2 linked regions of the Diceros bicornis minor genome follow. The protein of the gene in region 1 interacts with the protein of each later gene in a biochemical or structural test. Links are inferred from orthologs where the notes say so. Each region holds a gene or a part of one and is shown in the gene's direction. Other genes may lie near its edges.

Region 1 (7,918 bases):
GGGCCATGGGGGCTGTGAATGGGATGCAGCCCCATGGTGTCCCTGATAGAACCAGTGTCCAGTCTGATGAAGTCTGGGTGGGTGTGGTCTATGGACTGGCAGCCACCATGATCCAGGAGGTAATGTGCTCCCTTCCCCATCTCTCCACCATCTATACCTTGGCCCAGCAAACTTCCTCAGCTGTCACACTTCTGTACGGCCTAACCCATCCCATCTGATCCATCTAGAAAGCCTCGGCCTTTTCCCTGGCCGGCATTCCATCTCCTGCCTTCAGGATTCTCCCTGTACTAGCTAGGAGCTCCCCGAGGGCAGAGATCCTATTGTCTCCATCTCTCCAGCTGACCTGAGGTCAGGGGTTGTCAAGTAATATGACTGCCATCTCTCCCTACAGGGCCTGACTTGGGAGGGCTTCCGGACAGCGGAAGGCTGCTACCGTACCGTCTGGGAGCGCCTGGGCCTGGCCTTCCAAACTCCTGAGGCATACTGCCAGCAGCAGGTGTACCGCTCGCTGGCCTACATGCGGCCATTGAGCATCTGGGCCATGCAGCTGGCCCTGCAGCAGCAGCAGCAGCATAAAAAAGCCTCAAGGCCAAAAGCCGAACAGGGTACAGGACTAAGCACAGGGCCTAAATTTGGACCAAAGGAAGCCATGGCAAACCTGAGCCTAGAGTGAGCTCTCTGAACTGTGGGAGGGAGGCACTAACAGTCCATTCTCCAACCTGGCCTTCCCTCTGGCCCCTGGCCCCCCACCCCCCACCCGCACCCTCCCCAGTCTCCTGCATCCCTGAGCCACCAGGACAATCATATCCCTTTCCCTTCTCCCCACCCAACTGCGCCAGTAAAGAGGGGTTGAGGTTGACCCAGGCATCAGAATCACTTATTTATTTCTTTCCTCACTCCTTTCGCTCACTGCATGAAATGTTCAAGGAGGTCAGTTGATTCCCCCAGGCCCATTCGTGGAGTGATAGACATACATGGGTACAAATAAAAGACCCAGAAAGCCAGTTAAGTGTGGTGTGTTTGAGCCCTCAGGCTTCCTGACAGGGCACAGGAGCTGAGGCTAGCCCTCTCCCACTCCTTTTTATTTGGACACAGACTGGGGGCCCCAGGCTCTTGCTGAGGTCCCCCACATCCTCACATCTAGCCTAAGTATGGGCCCTGCAAGATGACAGGTGTGGGGCTGTGAGTAGGAAGTCATCCCCCCTCCCGTGCGATTTGTGTGCAGAGGAAAGATAGGACCTGGACAGGGGGACTTTGAGAAGGGGTCAGGGAGTGGCAACTTCAGGGGAGGCTCTGCGCCAAGAGCCTGAAGCACGTGGTAGAACAGGCAGCAAGAGTTGCCAGGAGCTTGGAGCACGTGGTCTGAGCTGTCCTTTGGTGCCTCTGACTGCAGGGCAGGCGGCTCCAGCTGGTGAGGGTCCTCACTGGGGAGGGCACGAAGCTGGCGGGACAACACTGAGAAGACAAAGACTCTTTAGAGGCAAGCCAGGCTTCTCCCCTAGCCCGCCCTTAATGGTATCCTCAAGCCTCTCACCTCCACGCTCAGCTGGCAGGCTCCCCCTTGTGTCAGAAGAGTACATAGCAGGTACGAGGAGGAGACAGAAGGAGAACAGTAGGACCTGGAGTACAGGAAACAGGAGGTGATGAAGGGCTCTTGATTGCATCCCTGTCCCTGCTGCCTGAGAAGAGGATCTCTCCTTCCATCAGCATCCTCACCAGAACACAGGTGCTGCTGCTGCTGGTTTTGTTTGATATCTGAATCATCATGGCCTGGAGTCTCCTCAGCTGATCCAGAAGAGACCTAGGGGAAGAGGGCAGTGAGCAGCCCCTGGCCTGGCACCCTGAGATACAGTGAAACCCTCCTGTTAAGGCCACTCCCTCCGTCTGTGCACTGGATCCTCTCTTACTTTTTGCAAATGACTTCTCTCTGTGGACAAAATGCCTGAAGTTCCTCATTAAAATATCCCTCTGCTCTGGCGTGACTTAAAACTCTTTTGCACATACCTTCAGTACTTCCTACACTGCCCCATCAGCTATGCACATAATTCTCACCAGGCATTCTATGTTCTCTTCCTTCTGACTCCACTCATGTTAAAGAGTTCCAGTCAGACTGGACTATGCTGTGGTCTCTACCTAGAATACTCTCAACACCCCCACAAGAATCCTATCTGCTATTAAATACCATCTGCCCCATGAGGTCTTTCTTACTCTTTCTCCTCTCTCTTTCTTGGTACTTATCATTAGTTACTTGTGAATTTACTCGCCATTACTGTGAGCTGCTTGGAATTAGAGACCCAGTAAGGGCCAACCACCAGACCTTGCATGTGGGAGCTGCCCAGTTAGAAATCAAGTGTGGAGCAAAGGAAAAAGTGAGACAGCGCCAAATAGGAGGGATGAGAAGGGACTGATGTTGCAGAGCTGCTTACAGATTCTGTTCCTCCAGGAGCTGTACTCTGTTCTGTAGCTCCAGATTCTGGGCTGTGTATTTCAAGACCCTAGGGGAATAACAGGGATGTGGGGATGTGGCCTGTATCCTCCCTTCAAAAACCTAACACTTGCAATACTTTTGGAAGGTATTGGAACTCCAATTCCAATACCCCACCACCGAGTCCCTCTCCCGTTTATACCTGTTCTCTAAACCCCCCACATACACCTTCTTCTTCCTGCGGCTCTCCTGAGCAGACTTTTTGTTTCGAATCTTCCTCCGTACTCGTTTCAGAACTTGTTCTTCCATCTGAGAGAAGGCAGGAAAAGTTATCATCAGAGGAACACTGGACCAAAGAGTTGGAATGCAACTGAGTTCAATCTTCTTCCCAGTGCAGGAATCCCTTCTACAGCTTCTCTGACAAACAGGCACTTGGCTTCTGTCTGAATGCCTCCAAGGACCAGGTGTTAATGCCCTCATAGGCCGGACCCTTTTAATAATTTTAATTAAAAAAAAAAAAAACCTTCCTTATCCTGAGCCAACATCTGCCTCTCTAATTTCTAGCCTTTGGACTTACCTAGTACCTAATCTCTGGGGCCATATAGAACAAATGATCTTGAGCTATTTTAAGGCGCTTGACATTTCTTCAGAGTCAAAAAAAATCTGGGCAAAATTTTTAACTCGTCATCTTATCAGTATGGACTGCATCCGTTTAATATCTGTCAAAGATCTGGGTTCAAAACTAAACACTCAGATGTGCTCTGGCCAGTATAAAGAAGAGAGATAGTCACTGCCCTTCTAGAGGCAACACCTCTATTGATTACAGCCTCCAAACCCCATTCACTTTCTTAGTAGCCATATCACATTGCTGACTCATCTTGTACTTTTAAGAAATTAAAATTCTCTTAACCTTTCTGTCAGTGAATGTCGATTTCATCACAGTGTCACAATATTGTGCTTGTGAAGTTGCCATTTGTTGCTTGAAACTTAAAGCTCAGAATTTTACATTTATTCCTGTTATATTGCTTGGTCCAGCCTTGATAAACTCTCTAAAACTTAATTCTACCATTCAACAAGAGGTGGATTACCACGAAGCCAGTGAAATGTGTCAGGGCCCCTCACTTGCACAGTCCTTTCCAATGCCCTATACTAATGTTGCACTGATAATGTGGAATTCTTTTTTCTTAAAGAAAACACCAAAATTTTTATAAGCCCCACAAAACCAGGAGCAGCTCTTGCATCCAGCATATTAACTACATGCACCAGCTTCCTATTAGCAGGGAATTTGCTAAATTTCTCACCTCAGTCCTTTTTCAAGTTACTGATATAAAATTAACAGAATTGGCCTACTTGGGGCTCAACTTCCTTTGCTGCCTTGCTCCACCAATGGGAGTCTTACCTTAGTGAGAGGAAGTGTCCCAGGCAGAGTAAGCCCCTCCTTCTCCAACAGCCTCTTCTCCTCATCTGTCAGTATCAGCCTAGCAATCTCCTGGGGTTCCAGGGAGGTGGCAGCAAAGTTGCAAGGCAATATCAGAGAGGAATGGGGAATCCTACCTCCACCCATGCAATGTGGGAATATTCCTCCGTAAATCAAATCAAGTACCTGCTCTGCTGGCTCCTCTACATGCAATGGAGTCATCTGGGCCCCCTCTTTTCCATAGCTCCCGCTATCTGCAAAAGAGAAAATATGAATAGCCAAGCCCATCAGTCCTCTCCTCTCCCAAAACTTCTCTTACTTCAGACTCACCTAGATCTATGGAAATATGTTCCTGTGGTACAGAGTAGGTGTGATCATGGTGGACAGGACAGGAGTTAGAAGAGTTGAGAACGTTCAACGACGCTGGGGGACTCAGCAGAGAGCTCAGGAAATCCTCGGCCTCCCAATCCCTCAGTACCTGCACAGGGTTCAAATTAACAGGCCTTGACCTATCACCACCCCCTGCCTCAAGGACGCCCCCCTCCCCGCCCCGCGCCTCCCCGACTCGGAGCCCGTACCCACCTCAGAAAGCGGCAGCTCCCAGTCTAGCGGAGCCTCCACGGCCTCGTGGATCGCCGCCCCCAAATCTCCGCTTTCCTCTAGCAGGAAGTCCAGCAGGTCTTGGTCACCCGGGTCCGACGGCAGCTCCATATGGGACATCTACGGAAAGGATGCGTAGAAACACAGGGGTTCGCCCCTCCACCTGGCCCCAACCCCGAACCCCATGCAAGACACTCCCCTAACGTCAGTCCGTCTTCAACCGGGCTTGCCCCGGAGCTGCTAGCCGACGCTCTCAAAGGGGACACGCCTCCTGAACTCAAGTCTCCCCGGCTTCCAACACAACGGAAGTGACGCCCATGCCCCCAAGGCATTCTGGGACACGGAGTTCCCCTAGTGCGGAAGTGGCGCCACGTCCCGGGAGCCATGCAAATCGAGGGGGCGGGCATTCTGCTGCTTCCTCACAGCCTGAGGGCGGGCATTCTGGGATGCGGCTCCGCCTTCGCCCCAAGCTAGAAAAAGGAAGGATTCGAGCCTAAAAGGGAACTGGGGCGTCTTCTCCGGATCGCGCCGCAGCCTTGCTTCCTGCCAGGGAGGGCCTGCGGGTCTTCGGAGGGTTCCCGAGCATCGAGAGCTGGGGCCAGAGCAGCTTCCTTCAGTCCCCGAAACCATAGAGCGCGGGCACAGGGCGCCGCCCGCGGGTGGGGGACGCTCCGGGGACGGAAGTGGCCGCCGGAGTGTCGAAGGGAGGGCGAGGCCGGAGCCCGAGAGCCACCGGGAGGACGAGCGAGCCCGGTAGCGGGCCGGCGGGCGGGGCACAGAGCCGGGCAGCGCAGGTAGGCCGGACTGGGCCCAGCCGGAACCTCAGGATGGGGCCGGGAGGCGGGCGGGCGGGGCCCCGACCCTCCTGCGTCTCCTCCTGCGGGTCCTGTTGGAGAGGTCAGCGGCCAGTGTATCTCGGTTTGGGCTCGGAGTTAAGTAGGCCGTTTTGCGGGAGCCAGCCCCCTCCTGGGAGCAGTCCTCGGCCTGGGATAGGTTTTGGGGAGGGCGAGGAGTGGGGTGGTAGTGAGGCGCAGGGCGGGGATCGGCTTTGAGGATCAGCGGGTATGTGGATAGGAAAGCTTTGGGTGAGTTTGGGATTAGGTGGAGTTCGGTTTAGGACTCAAGGTTAGTTTTAGGAGGTATGAAGCCGGGGTTAAAATTTAGTGTTATTAGTGTGAGTCAGGTCCGTTTTATGTAGGTGAAGTTTGGATTACGGTCATTATTTTGTTTTTTAGGGTGGCCAAGATAAGTCAAAGTTACGGTTCAGGGTCAGGTTAGAGGTCAATAACAGGAATTAGGTTGGAAGTCTAGTTTTAGGGATAAGAGAACGTTGGCATAGTCAGTATTAGGGATAAAAAGTGAAGAGGTGGGTCAGGAATCAAGTGGCAAATGAGCTTTAGACCTAGGGGTCAACATTTAGGGTTAAGGTCAGGGGCTTTGGTGCTTTTTAGCACCATTTAAAGGTAAATATTAGAAATCAGGGATTGGATACAGGTGTCTGCTAGGAAAGGGGTGAATGTCAAAGCCAGTACTGGGAAACAGGAAACACATTAGGGTTGGGGTTAGTGTTAGGAATTAGGGGCAGTTTTAGGGGTTGTGGTTGAGGTCAGGATAGTGGATCTCGGACACGTGAAATTTAAGATTAGTGGTAGGTAGAGGCCCTGTTTTGCGAGGAGGTCTCTCATTTCTGTGTAGTCGCAGGGGCTTCTTTGGCCCAGAGAAATGACAGACTATTTTCAGGCTAGGGTTCTGGGTTTCAGCTAGAATTGCAGGCATCTGGGACTCCAGCTGCTTTATTCTACTCTCTAAGCCCAAGGCTCTTGCTGTGGCCACAACAGTTGAGGGGCAGAGGTTCGTGGACTATGTTGTTTACAAGATAGGAGGTGGGAAAGGGACAGGGACCCAGGAGATGTGTAAGGCCTAGTCCTGAGTAGGGGACTGCCTAGAGGAAAGGGGACTGGTGACTAAGGGGGAAGCAGACCAAGAAAACACTGTTGCCACAGGAGCGGGGGATGACTGATCCTCTGAAAGTTCAGCCCCATTGCTTCCCATTCTCCTCATTCTCTCAATGTTAAGCTCTCCACTCCAGCTCTCCTCCCTGGCCCTGCATTTCACACCCTTCTTGCATACCCCCTTACAGAATGCTTCCCTTGTCTTTAACTCTCTCATGTTCTTCATTTTGCCATGTGTTCCCAGCCTCAGTTTTGCCTCTCTTCCCACCCCTTAATCCGCACACATCCTACCTTAATTTACTGTCGCCCAACTCTGAGCTTTCCCATCATCTTAAAGCACTCTCCCACCATTTTCACCCGCTCATCTACCTGAATACCTCCTGATCATCTGCTGAATACTCCAGCCCCAGCCCAACACAACTGCCAAGTACTTCCGATGCCTGCTGTGTTCCATCCCTGATTCTAAGCCTTAATTTCTTGGTCCACTTGTAGATCCCCTTCCCCCACTCCCCTGACAGAAAAGAGGAAATGAGACCCAAAGAGGAAACTGGGTCTTGCTGATCCCACGCCCAGCCAGGCCACTGACCACACCCCCATTTCACTCCCAGCCTGACCCTGCCACTGACCACAGCACTATCCCCTACCGAGCCTGACCCAGCCACTGGCTGCACCCCATGCACCACCCCCAACTCCAGCTTTACTTAGACACTGCTGGTGTCCCTTCACTCTTTGCCCATCCCATCCTAATTTAGCCACTGACCACAGCTCCCTCTCTTCTCAGTCTCGTAGCCTGACCTGGCTTCTGACCTCACTGCATCATTCCCTGACTTAGCCACTGTCCACATAATTATTCTTCCGTTTCCCCCAGCCTGATCTAGTGACTGATCATATATGTATTTTTCCTACCATCTTCCCCAGCCTTTCTCTACACCTCATCTTCCCCATTTCCAGCCCAATGCAGTCACTGACCTCATCCCTTCTGCCCCTCTACCTGGTACTAACCACATCCCCATCCCTTTTTCCCTCAGCCTAACCACATCTCCTAACCACAGCCTCATCTTCACATTCCCAGCTTGTCCTTATACTTTCTTTCCCCCCTTCCCAATTCCTGACCTAAACTCAAGCTGCCCAGCCACTGAGTGACTGCTGATGACAAGAAGCTATGGGACCCCAGCCTGACTTTGGGCCCTGGTCCCTGAGGGTTGACAGGACAGACTGTCATCAGTTCCTATCAGTTCTACCTCTTAAAATTTCTGATGAGTGACATCCTCTCCACCCTTCTAACTCTGGCTTCATTACCCCTCACTTCTGCTAATGCAGTATCCTTCTAACTAATCTCCAAGGTAACTGCCAGAGTTATTTTCCTAAAATCTGGTTCTGGTTATGTCCCGTCTCTGCTGAAAGCCTCCCTTGGCCTCCTGTTGCCCCCTAGTAGGTATCATTCCTCATACTCTCCCTAGTTCTCACCAGCCTTTCCATCCTCATCTTAACTTCCCCATCACTGCTCCCTTGCAGGTATGCTGC
Region 2 (7,751 bases), on another chromosome or scaffold:
CTGAGCTTAAAATAGTGATTCTTAATGTTTTGGGGTTAAGATACCATTTAAACCAGAAATATCTGCAGAAATGCAGATCTATATGTATAAATGAAATTTTGTCTACAAATTTTAGGGGGTTCATAGACACACGGTTTCCCATATATTGGTACACAGCAAGAACTCAATCTTAGATAACATTATGGGGATTAATTTGGGGAAATAGGGTGCTTTTACTTACCAAACAAACGTATCTTTTAACTGACCTAGACTTCCGACTCCCTAATGAATCAGGCCTCAAATCAGGCTGCTCTTAATTCAAATTGCCAAATATTCTTAAAAGGAGTTAAATGAGGAAACAAAGAATGTTGTTTTATAGTCACTAGCCATAACTTGTTGGTAGCACCATCATTTCCTCTATTGAGTGACCCTGGTTCCTAAAAATAACTCCAGTGCTATTCAACTGCTTATATTTGGCATATTCTTCATTCTTATTTGGGAAGGCACATTCCCTTCTCCAGCTGAAGAAACCCAGTGTCTGAAAAGAGCTGCCTAAAAACACTGTTTCCTCTGGGCTCTTAAAAATGTTCAGCATCTGAATGCTGGCAGGGAATGCTCCCACCCAGTGGAGGCAATACTCCACGGACTGAGCAGGACCAAAAGCGGGGATGCTATATCAGGAAGCAGAACCGGTTGAGGCAGCTTTGCTCAGACGTGACCCATATTCAAAGCCATAATCTAGCAACTGTTAACTATCTAGAAAAGGAAAAGACTTAATGGCTAGCCTAAACTATAAGGGACACATTGCAAATCAGGCCAGACTGTTCTGACATTTGCCACCTTACTTTTAAATAAGCAAAGGAATAAAGCACTAACTAAAGCCTCAGGACAGGCTAGTCAAATACAGACACCTGCCATATGTACAAGGTGGGTGGCTGCCTTGCAGCAAACTGAATTTTTCATGGGTCCTCTGGAAATTATGGCAGGGCATTGAGGAGTGCTCTCTAAATTGAAGCCATCAAGCCAAAACAAAAAGTTGCAAAATAAATAAACTTCCAGTTTTTCTACACTATATGATTATTTGCATATTATTTATATATTTGGAGACAGAAAAAGGAGGAACTAGAAGGACTGTCTTACCATTTCTTGTTTTTCAAAATGCCAGTAATTCCCAGGGCTGCTTTTTTTACCAAAGCACACAGATTCACATTTTAATAGAGGGAGTTTAGTTTCTCAGAAAAAGGAATGGAGTTATTTATGATTCAGAAGCACCTCCACGTTAGTATTAGAGGGCATTATCAGAGACTTCTATTCCTTCTATCCCCATCCGCTGTCTTTTTCTTTTTTTAATGTTTAAAGGAGTTAAATTCTAAGCATCCGGAGGTGGCAGATGAGAAAAATATATCTAGGTCACTCTGTAGAAACAGTTCTTAGAAAAGAGGCTGAAGACTCACTAGCCACTGTCAATCAGTCTGCTCCAGAAGCCATCACAGATATTTAAATGGTATTTAAAACCCAAGTCTTGTTGATTAGCCAGGCTACTTCCAAGGATTTTCCTTAATTAAATCTCCTAGTAGGGCATTTTCATCACATAGGAACTGCCTAATTCAGCACACTCCTGCCCCACACAATTTTTTTCCTTATCATCAATGTTAGAATTAGTCTTCACCTATCAACCTGGAGCCTGATTTGCAGTGTCCCTGTGTATCCCCTTTGAATTTCTAAAACTACTCTTCTCATTATTCATTGTCTGGACACTCTTATTTATAGGGTGACTGACCATATAATCTATTAACCATATCAGGATGTACTTTTGAGACTGAAAAGGGGTGCTATTGATAATTATGCTTGGACAACAGACAAACTGGGGCTATCTTGGGCATACCGGGACACAAAGTCACCCTGCTTACTTAAAAATGATCTGGTATGGATTGTGCCACAATGTGTCAGTCAATGGCCAATACCAAAAAATATTTGGTCTTGGGTATACTATTCTCACAATGCAGGTATTCATCCTTTGTTCAAACCCCATGAGGTCTTGCCCTCTGATGACTGTTGCATGTGGTAAATGATTTATAAAGGAATGTGTACTGAGCTACCTGCCCACAAAAGTTTACACTGGTTAGGGTTGTTTCCACTCTGAAAGACTGAAAAGCATTCAAGTTAGCATAGGATGATTTGTGATTTACTGGATGGAGTCATATTTGAAAGGCTAAGTCCCAAGAGTGCTCAAACTACAAGAAAAAGACAGCTCTCCACTCACTCTCCCTCCCAATCCCATATTCCATAATCAGGTGATTAAATACAACCTACTAGATCTGAAGGGCAGTAATCAAACTGTGATGTTTGAAAGAGATAATCAGGTTTCTAGAGAAGCCTTTAGGCTCTTTTGTACCTGACTTAATATTAATGGTTCCTTTCATTTATGTAAGCCTATCCTTTAATTAAAAATAGAAATATTTGTAATTATTATCTGTAATTTGTAATTATTAATGATTAAAATGAACTTGGGCATCCAATCAAGTCTTTGCTGGTGAACAACTTTGAAACTTTACTTCGGAAAACAGTAGGTGAATAAAGACATTTTGAAGAGTATATGGTAGTATGGCGCCAAAACTAAAGGAAAGGCCAACTTTTAATTATTTGACATAATGAGTTATGACGAGATGTCAGAAGACAATTTATAATAATTGGGAGACAGTGTAGGTAAAGTATGATTTGTCTTAAATTCAAAATACTATTAGATGTTCTATCATGATGTGGTTAAGCAATGTGACTCCCACTATTCTTACTTACCAGGATTTCCTGTTGCGCATGGTGACTGACCAACCCTTGTTTGGAGTGTTCAAAAATTTTATAGTTAGCTAACTGTCCATCGGTTAATATTTATATGAAATTACAAGTAGAGTCATACTCCTGACCAATCACTGCTTATCTTAAAGAACATGTTTCTTTAATTTCTCTTTTCCTCAAAGCTCATGACTCTCATACATAAATTGTTACTCACACTTCAGTTTAGCCAAATGCTCTGGCCTGGTCCCAGGGTAGCAAAAGGACCCATTTATTCATTTATCAAACATTAGCTGAGCCCCCATTATGTGTCCTGGAACAGTGTTTGACCCTGGGATTAAAAAGATAATTAAACTGCCCTTGAACTAATTTAGTTTAGGGTTGTGCAAACGTAAAACTCATAATGTTCTTGTGGCAAAGATCGCCTCCTCAAATCATATACAGGGAAGAAAATTCTGGGAAATGTAGTGCAAATCAAGCATCAATCAATTCCACTTTATCTTTAGAACTATAATTTCCTATGCTGAGCCTCAGCCAATTCTGATTCATTTGGAATAGTGGTATAACCAACACCTTTAAATTCAAGAATGTTGAGGTCTAGTGGCAGCTTTACAATTGGGTTACTAATATAGAAACATCATTCAGCCTCTTAACCTTGGTCAACCATTAAGTGGGAAAGATCATGCTAACTTCTTTAGAGGTTTTCAGAGATTATCTAGTCAACAGATTTGCTTTTGCTGGTGAGCAATGTGCAAATTTTCCATAGATGGTATTATTTTATTTTCTCTTATTTAAGATTGGCAATCAAATGGGCATCCCAGCTTCTAATCTCCCCCAAGTGAAACACTACTTCTCAGTTTCACAAATCTCATAATTTGAGCTCTATTCCCCACGGGGTGCTGCAGCTCACCAGCTGGCAACTCACATTTTCTAACAGAATGGCAGCTTGTCAACAGCATATTCTGAATTACTGGGTTTCAGTATGATGTTGGCACAGGTTTCAATTCTCTTATCAAAATGTGCCCAGCCATTCTCGTAATGAATGTTTCCCTTCTCTTTTAAATGTTCCTTCTCCAGCCCCCATCTCCACCTACTAAAAAAAGTGAAAATCAAAAGAAACTGTATTCTTAAGGATGAAACTTTTCCTTCACATGCCTGTTCCCCATAAATGGACCTCCAGATTAATGTAACAAAAGCAACTCCCCAACTCACCAGTTATTCTCTAAAATATTCTTCGTCTCCATCTTTGTTGGCACCCATCTCCTTCCTAAGTCTTCACCTTCCTCATACACATAAGCCAAGCAAACTATCACTCCAGAAAAACAGTATTGGCTTTGGCTAATTCCCTTTCAAAAGGAAAACATTTTCGGGCCCCACGAAGCCCTGCCTCGATTTGCCTGGGACTGAAGGGGCTCCCGGGACAGTCCCCCCGGCAAACGGGACGGTGGGTCGGACAGACAGACCTGCGGCTTCGGGGAAGCAGAACCTAAGAGAGGCGGAAAAGGAGAGTCCCGCCCCGGGTTGCCCACGGCCCGTCCGGCCTTCTCTTATGGGAGGATACGATTAACGCTCGCCGAGGCCTTACACCTCCCGCTCCCGCTTAGCAGAAAAGAAAACTGAGGCACGGCGAAGGCCTCCGCCGGTCCCGTGCCCCGCCCTCCCAGCGCGGCTCCCCGGGCCAGCTCCTTTGTCCCGGCCTCGGTCTTCCCGCCGCCTCCGCCGCCCGCGCCTCCTCCTCGCCTGGGGCGCGGCTGACGCGGCCGGAGAGGAATGCGCTTCCGGAGGGAGAGGGCGGCGGCGGCGGCCCGAGGAGCAGGCTCGGCCGCGCCGAGGAGGCGGTGCCGCGGGGGTCGTTTCCTGCGGGAGGCGGCTCCGGGGGCCGAGTCTCCTCCTCCCGCCCCCGAGGAGGCGGGGTCGCCGCCGCCCGCCGCGCCCGAGACCGGGAGGCCGCGCCAGCCCTCGGGAGAGGCCGAGCGGGAGCCGCGGAGCAGCAGGCCCAAGCCGACCGGCCGGGGCCCGGACGCCGCCCGGAGAAGGTAGGGGCCCGGCACGGGGCGGGCGGCGGCCTCCGGGCCCGGGTGCGCGGCCGGACCTCGGGCCGCCCGCCGCGGCCAGGCCGGGACCTCTCTGTCCGGCCGGGGTGGGGGAGGCGGATTCCAGCCTTCGGGCAGGAAGGGAAGTCCGGCCGGCGCCCGCCCTCCAGGCTTCTCTCGCGGACCTTGGCCCCCTCCCCGCCGCCTCCGTCCCTCCCGCGCGCCGGCGGCCCGAGCGCGCAGAGCCGGCCCCCGCGGTCCGAGTGGGAGGGTCGCCGGCCTGGGCGCTGTCACGTCGGGGGCGCGGGGTGCGAGGACCGGGGCCCCGACCGGCCGCTCAGACGCCTGCCATTCACAGCGCCCCGTGCCGGACGCGCGGCCTGGGCGCCGGAGAGGGAGCTCGCCCCGCGCGCCCGGGTCCCCTCCGCCGCCGCGGCGCGCAGTGCGGGCGCGGACGGGGCCTCCCGGGACGCGCCGTCCCAGGACTTGGAACGATCCTTGACAGTTGCTCTTTGTCTCCGTCTCGGGCGCGGGCTGCTCTTTCTTTGAGCAACGTTGAGCTTAGTCATTAGCTTCCACATAAGGAAAATTGTTCGTCCTTCCCACTTCCAGAAGTTGGGTGCTGGCTCTCAGCGCCTGTGGCGTGGGATGAAGGGGGGGTGGACCTGAACAAGAGGGGGCGTCGGAGAGCAGCTAGGAGAAGAGGGCGCAGCGTTGGCATATGGTGGGGTTTTTTTTTTTCCGCTTAATATTTAAAAGAGCCGCACTGGAGTGCCGGATACCTCGGCAGGCGGGGCGGCCGGCGCCCGCAGGGGCCGGAGGGAGCCGCGTCCTGGGCCGGGCGCCCTGAGCGCGCAGGGCCCGGCCGGCCCTCCCGGCGTCCCCGCAGGGTTTAGTGCCCGACCGGTTCTGATGCCGGCTTACTATGTGTCATTTCTTATGCTTCCTAAAAACAAGTTCTATTTTTAAGAATACCAGTGTTTAATGCCTAAGTAATTTTTATTTGATCAAATTTGTGCTTTTGAGTCAAAACCTAGTACTGGTTGGTATGATCACTAGTCATTTACATTCTTTAAGCTTCCATTTCCTTATCTTTGAAATGGGAACAAGAATACCTACACTAATAACAGTAGTAATTAATTATTATAAGAACGACAGTGAGGGCCATGTGTAGCTCTAGGCACTTTTACATGTATTTTGTCGTTTAATTCTGGAACTGATCCGTGAGGTAGGTGCCGTTTTTATCCCCATTTTATAAATGAAGAAACTGAGGCGAAGGGAGCATAAGTCATTTGCCTGTGGTCATCCAGCTAGTAGGTGGAGAAACCTTGTCTAGACCATGTTTGAACCACAAGTAATCTTCCGTAAGTACAGTATAGTTGTGAAAAATCACACGTAAAATGTAAAACACTTAGGTTAGAGTAGAAGCTCAATAAATATTGATCTCTTTTCCTTCCTTCTTAGTATATTAAATGATTAAAAAAAATCTCAGCATGTAATTGATAACATCATTAGTAAGGTTTTTTGGGGTCTGCATCCCACGTAGATACTTAGGTGGTAGAATTACTGGGTTGTTATTTTTTATTGTTGTTTTGATGGTATGAAAATAAATGTGAAGTGAATTTTGATTTGGCGTCTTTCTTAAACTAAATACAGCTTTTGCAATAGATTGTATAATAGACTACTTTTAGAAATGATTAAGGAATTTTAGTTGGAAGTTATTTATTTTACGTTTGTGGACATCAAGGCCCAGAGGGGACAGGACTTACTTAAGAGTCCCAATAACGGTGATATTTTTAAATAATTTTGGTTCTGTGATCAGTATTATGTAACTGAAGACGAGGCAGTGATAATTAGAAAACAGATGAAACAAATCAGTATTTTGGTTACAGGCGTTTGAGGCAAATCCATTTTACTTATGCTAAAATTCAGTATAAAATGGATGTTATTAGAATGCCAGTTAAAAAGACAGGGGATGCATGAGCATAATGTCCAAAGCTGTTATCTGCGATGGTGAGCTCTAGTTGAATTAGAAGACAACAACATTTCAAGAAACGACTTTTTAAAAAGAAGCCCAACTCCATTGCTCCCACTTTCCTGCTCTTGAAAAGTAAGGGGAAGCACATTATGCTGAGTGAAATAAGCCCGTCACAAAAGGACAAATACTGTCTGATTCCGCCTCTATGAGGTACCTAGAGAAGCCAGATTCAGAGAGACGGAGTAGAAGGGTGGTTGCCAGGGGCTGGCGAAAAGGAGTGTGGGAGTTGTTGTTTAATGAGTACAGACTCAGTTTTGCAAGATGAAGAGTCTGTAGATGGTTGGTGGTAATGGTTGCACAACAGTGTGAATGTATTTAATATGGTGAATTGTACACTTAAAAACAGTTAAGATGGTGAGTTTTATGTTATGTATATTTTGCTACACTTAAAAAGTTATTAAAAAAAAAGAAAGACGGGATGTGGTTAATACTTCTGTAAATAAAGAGCAGATAAACTCCACATTAAGTCATCTGCGTGGACTTCACAGACCTAAACTTTTGTTTTTGTGATGTTGATTCTTTTAAAAAGAATGTCAAGTTTGGGGGCCAGCCCCATGGCTTAGCAGTTAAGTGCACGAGCTCCACTACTGGCGGCCCAGGTTCAGATCCCGGGCGCGCACTGACGCACCGCTTCTCTGGCCATGCTGAGGCCACGTCCCACATACAGAAACTAGAAGGGTGTGCAACTATGACGTACAACTATCTCCTGGGGCTTTGGGGGAAAAAAAAAACGGAGGAGGATTGGCAATAGGTGTTAGCTCAGAGCCGGTCTTCCTCAGCAAAAAGAGGAGGATTAGCATGGACGTTAGCTCAGGGCTGATCTTCCTCACACACACACAAAAATAAATAAATAAAAAGAATGTCAAGTTCTATATTAAGATTATTTTTCTAATCCCCTCGACATTCTGCAC

Evidence for each region.
Region 2: the proteins of TLN1 (region 1) and ITGB1 form a complex in vitro, tested with the Homo sapiens proteins (3 studies listed by BioGRID and IntAct, with this or other methods). The link is inferred for Diceros bicornis minor from reciprocal best matches to the Homo sapiens genes TLN1 and ITGB1.

Annotation. Positions count from the first base shown.
Region 1 is NC_080767.1:4,151,520-4,159,437, reverse strand, and holds the start of TLN1 (talin-1), read left to right. Parts: upstream 1-4,869; 5' UTR 4,870-5,236; intron 5,237-7,918. Other genes in the region: GBA2 (non-lysosomal glucosylceramidase), read left to right, coding at 1-119, 392-673; CREB3 (cyclic AMP-responsive element-binding protein 3), read right to left, coding at 1,082-1,455, 1,535-1,619, 1,717-1,801, 2,427-2,495, 2,628-2,734, 3,825-3,914, 4,029-4,096, 4,173-4,320 and 1 more. UniProt on the Homo sapiens protein: High molecular weight cytoskeletal protein concentrated at regions of cell-matrix and cell-cell contacts. Involved in connections of major cytoskeletal structures to the plasma membrane.
Region 2 is NC_080775.1:31,097,521-31,105,271, reverse strand, and holds the start of ITGB1 (integrin beta-1), read left to right. Parts: upstream 1-4,700; 5' UTR 4,701-4,805; intron 4,806-7,751.